2 linked regions of the Arabidopsis thaliana genome follow. Each later gene encodes a partner of the first gene's protein in a complex. Each region holds a gene or a part of one and is shown in the gene's direction. Other genes may lie near its edges. The genes, in order: AT4G34600 and GSO1.

Evidence for each region.
Region 2: the proteins of AT4G34600 (region 1) and GSO1 are in contact, whole or in part, in a crystal structure (PDB 6S6Q), measured with the Arabidopsis thaliana proteins. Residues at the interface, in NP_195186.1 of Arabidopsis thaliana: Asp63 (codon at 2,725), Tyr64 (codon at 2,728), Gly65 (codon at 2,731), His66 (codon at 2,734), Ser67 (codon at 2,737), Ser68 (codon at 2,740), Pro69 (codon at 2,743), Lys70 (codon at 2,746), Pro71 (codon at 2,749), Leu73 (codon at 2,755), Val74 (codon at 2,758), Arg75 (codon at 2,761), Pro76 (codon at 2,764), Pro77 (codon at 2,767), Phe78 (codon at 2,770), Lys79 (codon at 2,773), Leu80 (codon at 2,776), Pro82 (codon at 2,782), Asn83 (codon at 2,785); in NP_193747.2 of Arabidopsis thaliana: Phe127 (codon at 2,835), Ser128 (codon at 2,838), Arg149 (codon at 2,901), Ile150 (codon at 2,904), Gly151 (codon at 2,907), Asp152 (codon at 2,910), Ala173 (codon at 2,973), Leu174 (codon at 2,976), Ala175 (codon at 2,979), Ser176 (codon at 2,982), Ile197 (codon at 3,045), Gln199 (codon at 3,051), Thr221 (codon at 3,117), Ile243 (codon at 3,183), Asn245 (codon at 3,189), Tyr267 (codon at 3,255), Asp293 (codon at 3,333), Leu314 (codon at 3,396), Asp315 (codon at 3,399), Val317 (codon at 3,405), Glu339 (codon at 3,471), Gln340 (codon at 3,474), Val342 (codon at 3,480), Gln364 (codon at 3,546), Asp388 (codon at 3,618), Tyr390 (codon at 3,624), His392 (codon at 3,630), Gln411 (codon at 3,687), Trp412 (codon at 3,690), Val414 (codon at 3,696).

What each region holds. Positions count from the first base shown.
Region 1 is NC_003075.7:16,527,169-16,530,925, forward strand, and holds AT4G34600 (uncharacterized protein), read left to right. Parts: upstream 1-1,889; 5' UTR 1,890-2,111; coding exon 2,112-2,196; intron 2,197-2,471; coding exon 2,472-2,518; coding exon of another isoform or gene 2,519-2,578; exon of another isoform or gene 2,579-2,670; coding exon 2,671-2,790; 3' UTR 2,791-3,060; downstream 3,061-3,757. Other genes in the region: BLH6 (BEL1-like homeodomain 6), read right to left, coding at 3,378-3,757. UniProt on the Arabidopsis thaliana protein: Peptide hormone required for contiguous Casparian strip diffusion barrier formation in roots via the regulation of CASPs protein expression and distribution in a GSO1-GSO2 signaling pathway.
Region 2 is NC_003075.7:10,881,764-10,888,919, forward strand, and holds GSO1 (Leucine-rich repeat transmembrane protein kinase), read left to right. Parts: upstream 1-2,157; 5' UTR 2,158-2,456; coding exon 2,457-5,853; intron 5,854-5,929; coding exon 5,930-6,282; 3' UTR 6,283-6,507; downstream 6,508-7,156. Other genes in the region: AT4G20150 (excitatory amino acid transporter), read right to left, coding at 6,766-6,782. UniProt on the Arabidopsis thaliana protein: Together with GSO2, receptor-like serine/threonine-kinase required during the development of the epidermal surface in embryos and cotyledons. In coordination with GSO2, regulates root growth through control of cell division and cell fate specification.

The sequences.
Region 1 (3,757 bases):
TTGATGCGTAGTCTTAATAGAAATCTTTCAGTATTATTGACAAGAAAAAATAAGATAAAAATAAATAAATAAAAAATAATGACTAACATAGATGTGAAAAGTCCTTATTAATATTCAAAACGCTCCAAAGGAATTGCACGACGAGACAAGAAAAGCAGGGGCGGCTAAGAGAGTCCTTTAGAAACCAATCTCATTCGAATAGTATTATGGTTTATTGAGAAAATTTATAATTTATGTACTAGGAAGTAAAAAGTCATAGCCGACGATACTCAAAACAGAATTTTCCTTCGAGTTCAAGTATTTTCTTGTTAATTAGTTCGGAATCGAAATTTCAATTCTAAGGTTTAAACTCTTTATTGTGAAAGTCACACACTCGTGTATTTAGACTCTAACATAGAGTCGAGAAACCATACATGTATAATGTATTAGTTGAATGGTTTCGTCTAAACTCTATGTTACAAGTAACAAGTCCATATAAATGAGTAGAACCCTACACCAAACTCTAATTCCTACTTCTTCGAAAGGATACCTAAAAGCCCGTGAAGTCTAGAAATCTTTGATTTTATCTACATGTATTAACTTTGTCAGCAACACACGTTCATACCGGATTTAAAGTTTTGGTGCAAGTTTCTATCGAGAGAGCTTTGCCCAACATCTTAATATAAGCCCAACCTTTTATAAATAAGCACAAAACAATTATAAAGCCTCACAAGTAAGTTAAAACATAGGCCCGAGGCAAATGTTAATGGTACAGTATGTTGTTGATTCTAATGTCTATTACGTGTACTAACTAACTACGAAGCCCATTCAAGAGTTTAACCGGCCCAACAGGTTTACTATGATTGTTTTGTATTAATATACAGCTTGACTCTCATTTTGTAATAGAAAAATATATAGCGGTGTTTAACAAGATAAATTATGCTATCTATAACATTCTAATCCAGAATTTGGTTCCATTTAAAAAATTAATTAGGCCGGTTTTCTTCTAAATGAGTTGTGGTTTCTTGTTAGGACGTGCACTCATACCAGCCTTAAAAAAATTAGTGACAAAACAAAACTGAAATTTTTAACAAAAATAAATAAATAAAACAAACAAAACTGAAATTAAGAATCGTGAGGGTACGGTCATCATCCACTACATCATCTTTACTCCTTTTTATGTGCAACCATAAAATAATACGTCGAACATTAATTATAGTGACGAATCAGTTCATTAAAGCAAAGTTCAAACAACTTTGTTCTCTTTCCATAATCTCAATTAATCAGTAATCCATTTAATTTATCATTGTGTGACGAATCAGTGCATCGAAGCAAAGTTTAAACAACTTTGTTCTCTTTTTTCCATAATCTCAATCAGCAATTCATTTAAGTTTAACACTTTTTAGCAAAAAATTATGAGAAAAATTTATGACTCTATCTTTCAGTAAGTATGTTATGATCGATTAATTTGAGTTAAACGAAGTAGTGTATCATATATAGTATATCACTATCAGATTTATAGAGGCCTAATCGTACATTATTCAGTTGGTTATAGCTAGCGATATCTCTTGATTGGAGAATAGGAATGGAACTTTGACCGATATTGAATACCTAGTCTTCAAGGATTCTACAATATAATTATGATGATTTGGTAAATTTAATTGGGTTATGATAATGAAGGCACTCATATTAAATAATCAGGTCACTAACCTCTTTAGACTTATTGTGGCCAACAATAGGAAAGTAGTCTCCTTTCAACTTTTTCTCCAATCCCACCATTTCCATGAACAATTTTTTTAATTAAAAGCATTAAGAGATATTTGCATTAATTAAATGATGGATAAATCAATTGTTGTTATGGTATTTTACTATTTTTATTTATTTGTAATTGATACAATCTAATTTTGAAACTCAAGCTAATCTCTATTTAAACCGGTTTTTATTGTTGCTTTTTATTTAAAGCATTCACGTTGGCTAAACAAATTAGTTAACTTTTAATCGTGTTATTTCTTTAGAGATTATATATAGTGATATACCAAACGCATTGGCTTCTCTTTTTTTTGATAAGGTACGTGTATCTAAATACACAAGATACAGCTTAAGGCACATCAAAAATTGAAAGGAGAAAGAAGATGGGTTTGTTGCCATTGGTGAAGAAACTAGGTTTCATCATCTTTCTTCTAGTTTCAGCTTCAGCGTTTGCTCTCTGTTCTGCAGGTTTGTTTCTTACTTTTTTTTCTCTCTCTCTATCTACATATTTATATTCCTTTGTTTGCAGCTTTTCTCTGCAACTTCATGTGCCTCCTACTGAGATCAGTCTTTTAGAAAGTAAGATAATAACATTAAGAGCTTGTGCTCTCCACATGTGTGTTAATGACGACTAAAGGAGAAAATTAACGACATAGTATGTTACGTTAGTGTTATTTGGATTGATTAATCTTGGATATAAAGAATAGACAAGCTTAAGTCTCTTTTTTTTTTCTTTTTTGTAGGCCGATCATCCATTTTAATCTATAGCCAAGAAGATGATCATCCCGAGGTATTCGTTTTAACTCCAAAAAAAGTTGCCAACTACCGTGCGTTGTATATCTTTACTTAGTAAAAAACCGAACAAATTGATAATCAAGATCGTAGTTATATGATTTCAAGAACAATTTTGTACGTTGGTGAATACATTCTATTTGTGGACAGGTAGTAGAAAGAAGAATACATGAGCATGAGAGAATTCTGAGAATGAATTCAAGAGACTATGGCCACTCCAGTCCTAAACCAAAGCTCGTGAGACCTCCTTTCAAGCTTATTCCCAACTGATCATGCATATCACCGATCGACTATATATAGATGCCAGACTTTCTGAGATGTATAATATATGTAAACCTAAATACTAACACTGCAATAAGTTTGAATGATAATCATATATATAAGTTTCAAGATATGTTTTCTAGTAAATTAATGATTAGATAGTGCTCTTTGCTATCATGCAGAATGTAAATTTGGTGAATAGTCATCATTAGATGAATATTACAATTTATCTGATAGAATCCTTATGATCAAAATTAATATTGAAATATTCGATTAATTCTGAAAACGGATACAGATTGTATATGTGCCAGACAAAAAAAAAGAGAAGAGAATTGGGAACGTTGCAGTTTCGTAGATGTGATAAGATAATAAGTCTACAGTGTAATGTCCATCTCTTGCAGATCTCAAATTGCATTTACCATATTCTGTTTGGTCCCAATGACCTAACCTCACTTATATTCTTGTACAAAAGAATGTTTACTTTATACAAATATTTCTAAAACTTTTTCTTCTGACCAACATTCTTCCACTACAGAATTGAGACTGATCATAAGTTCATCACACCTATGCTTTATTCCTCTCCATTGCTTACTTCTTCAAGCTACAAAATCATGTACCAATTGTGAAGAATTTATCCGGTTCTGGCGACTTCCGGGGTTTACATACTCCATTTCATCTCCCGGGATGGCATTCTCGTAAATATCCACCCCGGAAAAGTTGTTGTATGCCTCACTAGACATAGCCACAACATTGTCCTGTCCTTGAGAGTTTTGAAGCCCTAGAGTCAAGGACACATCACCACGACCCAATCTTGACGTATCAGCCACATGATATGTAGGCTCAACTGCCATGAACCGGCGACCATCCATATGACTGCCTTGGACCATGCCACGAGTTTCCTCGCCATATCCATGTCCATGGTCCGGTTTGGTCTGGTCTTGTGAAAACTCTCGAGCTCGATCTTCATCATCAGCAG
Region 2 (7,156 bases), 5.6 Mb from region 1:
AGAAACTGCACCATGTAATTGAAAGGTTCCTGTTTTTTTTTTTGTTTAGTGTAAGGTTATGTATTTGTATGGAACAGTTAGACTAAGTGTGTTAGTTTGTTTTAATCGCAATCACAAACAAATCATAACCTCTTCTTTTCTTGGCTGCTTTAATGAGTTTGATTAGCCAACAAACGCTTTGGAATCATCTGTGTTTTTTTTTTCTCTTTTGATTAATTCATGTTCATGTTTTTAGTCCCTAAGCATGATTAGTGTCTCAAATGTTTTAGGGTAATTGTGTCTCTTACGCCGAACTATAATGTTGATTAGTCTCAATAATTGATTATTACTTATACTATTTATTAACCTTGTGGTTACACTAATCAATCAAATCATATTGCGTTTCTTCTACTCTTTGTCTAACATTACTATTTTCAAAAAAAGTTACGGTCCAAACCAAACAAACCTACTCTGAGTTATACAGAACCATAAGCAATCTATTTCTTACCTTTGGCTACTTATTTGATACTTTACATTGACTAACTTGATTCTTAATAATTATCTTCAATATGTTGAATATTTTATTTTTGAAGTAAGACCACTATGCGTTTCATAATTCTTGCCATGCATAATGAAATTATTCCTTTGAATTTAAGATTAATTAAAGTATAAATCAACCAAACAATAGACAAAAAAAAATAAAAAAAAATAAGCATCTTGATCTTTTTGGTGGATCGAAGATAATTCCTTTGTCTCATTCTTTTGGATTTAGAATCTCGTTCAGTAGAATATTAACATTTTTAATTATAGATTATCAATTATCGAACAAGTTGTTGTACGTAAACTTGATTCGATCTAGCGTTATTACAGTCAACCAAAATTTATATAATAATAACAATTTATGAAAATGACAATATTATTCGATGTATTATTCCTTTTTTCCTATAATTAGATAGGTGTGATTAAATTCAAGCTAGATTCCGAATCGACAACAACATATTATATCTATTATTAACCTCAATTTTTGAAGGCAAAAAACACACGAAATTATTCAAAACTCACGAGTTGATTCTTTACTTCGATGAACATATAAATTGGGAAAGTATCACCGAACTTATTTGGGTAATAAAGAAAAAGATGGATGAAAAAATTATGTTTGCAAATTTTAATAAGAATTATGTTTGACTTGGTAATAAAATATAGGGCATAATCATATGATGCCATGTTAATGTACGATCATACCACAACTGCTCTCCTTGTCGTGAAAAGGTTGAAGTGATGAGAAGCTAACACACTTTGTGACATAACCAAAGCCAAAAATATATACTTCAACCAAGTCATTTTCTCAACCACTCTTTTCTCCTTGTCCAAGGTCAAAGCCATGCATCACCATTTTATTTTCTATTATTCATTATTGTTACTTTTCCTTTATATAACTAATAAAAGGTCTATTACTAATAAACAACTAAACTTTTCTTTTCTTTTTGATAAAATTAAACAACTAAACTTGTCGAAAAGAAATAGGAGAACAAAGAACTCTAACTTCTCACGAAATTGATAAATCAAATGATTGCGTATCACAAAGACACTAAAAAGAAAAATTAAGGAATCGTGTAGAGTTGACACTCTATACATTCAGAGTAGTAATCATGTGTTTGATAGATAATAAATAGATAATGGAAGTATGAAATGAGAAAACTTGTTGGGATCATTTATCATTTGTGGAATCCTCTAAATCTTTTCTAACTTAACTCCAAGTCGTTAGAGTCCAAGAGATATGAATCGATCGGAACTTCAATACAGAATTTAATTAGAATATAGTGGAACAACATCCACGAATCTAAATGTCATAAGTTGTTAATTGATCAAACGAAATAGAATGTACTTATTATAAGCTTATAATTTTACAAGTTTGATGTGAATGTAAAGTGTACTACTCCACTATTTATTTATATATTCTGTGGTTTCTAAAGAAGACCAAATGTTTTTTTTTTTTTCTTTCCTAAGAAGACCAAATGTTATGTCAAAGTTTAGGCACTGTTTTAATTATATAACATGTCTCCACGGACGAATAAATGTACACACGAACATCATAGTACGACCGTTGACCTTTGCCCCTCCATTGATTGATAAAAGGCTAAAAGCCGAAACATTTTCATTCTACGAGCCTTCCCATTCCATTTCCCCACATCTCTCCTCTGACCTCTCTTTGACCCCTCTCTCCTCTCTCTCTAGATCTCTCAATAAAACAGTGAAATAGCAAAAAAGAAACACAAAAAAGAGAGAGAGAAAGAAACTTTGTTCTCTCTGCATTTACTCTTCTCCAACTCAGAGATAGAGTCCCTATGCACCGTTTCTAATGACCAATCATCTTTCTCCCTCTTCATCATTCTCTACAACAAGAATCACACAAATGCCATAAAACCTCCATTCTTCTTCCTCAGTAAACCAAACCATAAGACGACGAAGAAGAAAACATGCAACCACTAGTTCTTCTCCTCCTCTTCATCCTCTGTTTTTCCGGTTTAGGTCAACCGGGTATCATCAACAACGATCTTCAGACTCTTCTCGAGGTGAAGAAATCTTTGGTCACGAATCCACAAGAAGACGATCCTCTCCGACAATGGAACTCTGATAACATCAACTACTGTTCTTGGACCGGAGTCACATGCGACAATACCGGTTTATTTCGTGTAATTGCTCTAAACCTTACCGGTTTAGGATTAACCGGTTCAATTTCACCTTGGTTTGGCCGGTTTGACAACCTAATCCACCTTGATCTATCTTCCAACAATCTAGTTGGTCCCATCCCAACTGCTCTCTCCAACCTTACTTCCTTGGAGTCTCTGTTTCTCTTTTCTAACCAACTCACCGGCGAGATTCCGAGCCAGCTCGGCTCCCTCGTTAATATCCGGTCGCTAAGGATCGGAGACAATGAGCTTGTTGGAGATATCCCGGAGACGTTAGGGAACTTGGTGAATCTCCAGATGCTTGCTCTGGCTTCTTGTAGACTCACCGGTCCTATACCGAGTCAGCTCGGTCGTCTCGTCCGAGTTCAGTCGTTGATATTGCAAGATAACTATCTCGAAGGACCGATTCCGGCTGAGTTAGGAAACTGCTCTGATCTCACTGTGTTCACTGCGGCGGAGAACATGCTCAACGGGACGATACCGGCGGAGCTTGGACGCCTTGAAAACCTCGAAATACTCAACCTGGCGAACAACAGTCTCACCGGAGAGATACCGAGTCAATTAGGTGAAATGAGCCAACTCCAGTATCTTAGCTTGATGGCAAATCAACTTCAAGGTCTTATCCCCAAGAGTTTGGCTGATCTGGGAAATCTTCAAACTCTTGATTTATCGGCGAATAATCTTACCGGAGAGATACCTGAAGAATTCTGGAACATGAGTCAGCTTCTTGATTTGGTTCTAGCAAACAATCATCTCTCTGGTTCATTACCAAAGAGCATTTGTTCTAACAACACAAACTTGGAGCAACTGGTTTTGTCTGGAACTCAGCTTTCTGGTGAAATCCCTGTGGAATTAAGCAAATGTCAATCGCTTAAGCAGCTTGATTTGTCGAACAATTCTCTCGCTGGCTCGATCCCTGAAGCATTGTTTGAGCTAGTCGAACTCACAGATCTTTATCTCCACAATAATACCTTGGAGGGTACGTTATCTCCTTCGATATCAAACCTCACTAATCTACAGTGGCTTGTGTTGTATCACAATAACTTGGAAGGCAAGTTACCGAAGGAGATCAGCGCACTCAGAAAATTAGAGGTTCTGTTTCTGTATGAGAATCGTTTCTCAGGGGAAATCCCACAGGAGATTGGAAACTGCACAAGCTTGAAGATGATTGATATGTTCGGGAATCATTTCGAAGGAGAGATACCTCCTTCAATAGGAAGATTAAAAGAGCTTAACTTGCTTCACTTGAGACAGAACGAGCTTGTGGGTGGACTTCCCGCCAGTTTAGGTAACTGTCATCAACTGAACATCTTGGATTTGGCGGATAATCAGCTCTCGGGATCAATTCCTTCATCCTTCGGGTTCTTAAAGGGCTTGGAACAGTTGATGCTTTACAACAATTCTCTTCAAGGAAATCTTCCTGATTCACTTATCAGTCTGAGGAACCTCACCAGAATCAATCTCTCTCACAACAGGCTCAATGGTACGATTCATCCATTATGTGGTTCGAGCTCATATCTCTCATTCGATGTCACCAACAACGGGTTTGAAGATGAAATCCCCCTGGAGCTAGGAAACTCTCAAAATCTTGATCGTCTCAGGTTAGGCAAGAATCAATTGACAGGAAAAATCCCTTGGACGTTGGGGAAAATCCGCGAGCTGTCCTTGTTAGATATGTCAAGCAACGCTCTCACAGGAACCATTCCGCTACAGCTCGTCTTGTGCAAGAAACTGACACACATCGATCTCAATAACAATTTTCTATCAGGTCCTATACCTCCATGGCTTGGAAAACTTTCACAGTTAGGAGAGCTCAAGCTTTCTTCGAATCAGTTTGTTGAGTCTTTACCTACTGAACTGTTCAACTGTACAAAGCTGCTTGTGTTGTCTCTTGATGGAAATTCGCTTAATGGGTCGATTCCACAAGAGATTGGTAACTTGGGAGCTCTCAATGTCCTTAACCTTGATAAGAACCAGTTTTCAGGTTCACTTCCTCAAGCTATGGGAAAGCTCAGCAAGCTGTATGAGCTTCGGTTATCAAGAAACAGCTTAACAGGAGAAATCCCAGTTGAGATTGGACAGCTTCAGGATCTTCAAAGTGCTTTAGACCTCAGCTACAATAACTTCACTGGAGATATACCTTCGACAATTGGGACATTATCAAAGCTGGAAACACTTGATCTTTCTCACAATCAGCTTACAGGGGAAGTTCCTGGCTCGGTTGGGGATATGAAGAGTTTGGGATATCTCAATGTTTCTTTCAATAACCTCGGAGGGAAGCTCAAGAAACAGTTCTCAAGATGGCCAGCTGATTCCTTTTTAGGCAACACAGGTCTTTGTGGAAGCCCACTAAGTCGCTGCAACAGAGTTAGAAGTAATAACAAGCAACAAGGTCTTAGTGCCAGATCAGTTGTGATAATATCAGCAATCTCAGCATTGACGGCGATTGGCTTGATGATACTTGTAATCGCTCTCTTCTTCAAACAAAGGCATGATTTCTTCAAGAAAGTGGGTCATGGAAGCACTGCGTACACATCGTCAAGCTCTTCTTCACAAGCTACACACAAGCCTCTCTTTCGAAACGGAGCTTCAAAGTCCGATATCAGGTGGGAGGACATCATGGAAGCTACACATAATCTAAGCGAGGAGTTCATGATTGGATCAGGAGGCTCTGGGAAGGTTTACAAGGCGGAGCTTGAAAATGGTGAGACTGTTGCAGTGAAAAAGATTCTCTGGAAGGATGATCTCATGTCAAACAAGAGCTTCAGCAGAGAAGTTAAGACGCTTGGAAGAATCAGGCATAGGCATCTGGTTAAGCTAATGGGTTACTGCAGCAGCAAGTCAGAAGGATTGAATCTGTTGATATATGAGTACATGAAGAACGGAAGCATCTGGGATTGGCTTCATGAGGACAAACCCGTGCTCGAAAAAAAGAAGAAGCTTTTAGACTGGGAAGCAAGATTGAGAATAGCAGTAGGATTGGCTCAAGGAGTAGAGTACCTTCATCATGACTGTGTTCCTCCTATCGTTCACCGTGATATCAAATCCAGTAATGTGCTCCTCGATTCAAACATGGAAGCGCATTTAGGAGATTTCGGTCTTGCCAAGGTCTTAACTGAGAACTGTGATACCAACACAGATTCAAATACCTGGTTTGCATGCTCTTATGGCTACATTGCTCCAGGTACTCATCTTCTCTTTCTTAGCTTTCTTGCATATTCACTGTTTTAATATCTAAAGATTTGAAATTGTGTGTCTAGAGTATGCTTACTCGTTGAAGGCGACTGAGAAGAGCGACGTTTACAGTATGGGGATCGTGTTGATGGAGATTGTGACTGGGAAAATGCCAACCGACTCAGTGTTTGGTGCAGAGATGGACATGGTGAGATGGGTTGAAACACATCTTGAAGTAGCGGGTTCTGCGAGAGATAAACTCATAGATCCAAAGCTTAAGCCACTTCTGCCATTTGAGGAAGACGCAGCTTGTCAGGTGCTTGAGATTGCACTTCAGTGCACAAAAACTTCTCCCCAAGAGAGACCATCTTCTAGGCAAGCTTGTGATAGTCTTCTCCATGTCTACAACAACAGAACGGCCGGTTATAAGAAGCTGTAAAAAAACTGACACCTGCAAATGTCTTTGGAGACATGAAAACTGCCAACTTTAAATTTTTTCTTCTGAAATTCTGTTTCTGCTTTGTATAGATGACATGGTTTCTTTCAGTACAAAGATTGTTTCGAACTTGATCCATCTGCTACAAAAACACTTATTGTCTTTTGCATGTACTTGTAATACAACTTAAACCAAATTTTAAACAGAATGATTCTGATTCTGATTCTGAAACTCTATTCTCATAACAGAAGGTAGATTGCAAGGTTTATCATTTCGCCATTATTAACCAGATACAAACAGATTCAGATTGTGAAAACACAAATCTTTAGGTTCATATTCGAAAACAGTGAATGAAAAGAACTCCAGAGCTGAAGTCAAAGAGAAGGAGAAGAAACGCTTATACAGGAAAGATCAGACAAAACAAGCACTTGAGATGAGTTCAGGGGAAGATATTTCTTTTCTGAAGACTTCAAAGATCACGCAAAATTAATCCCGATCTTCATCTGCATTACAAAAACAGAAGGAAAAGTTTGAATATTCCAAGTTATTCAATCCAACAAAACAAGAAATGTAATACACCAAATTCTGCCAGTCCCTCGCAAATATGCAATAGCCAATGGTGATAAACAAACAGAGATTCTTGAACTTATCATAAGTCACAAGATTTATCAAAGAAGAGTTTGCGAAAGCTTAGCAACTTACTACCTAAAACGAGACACGTTTACATATGTGGTTCCCTTCAAATTCGCATCTAGTTTATATGTACTGGCACCTTGCAACCTATCTAACTCTAGAACCAAAGAACTAGTCGAAAGTATCTATCTTTCCAGACTCATTGAGATCATGTTCAAAGGAATAATTGTATTGCTCAAACTGT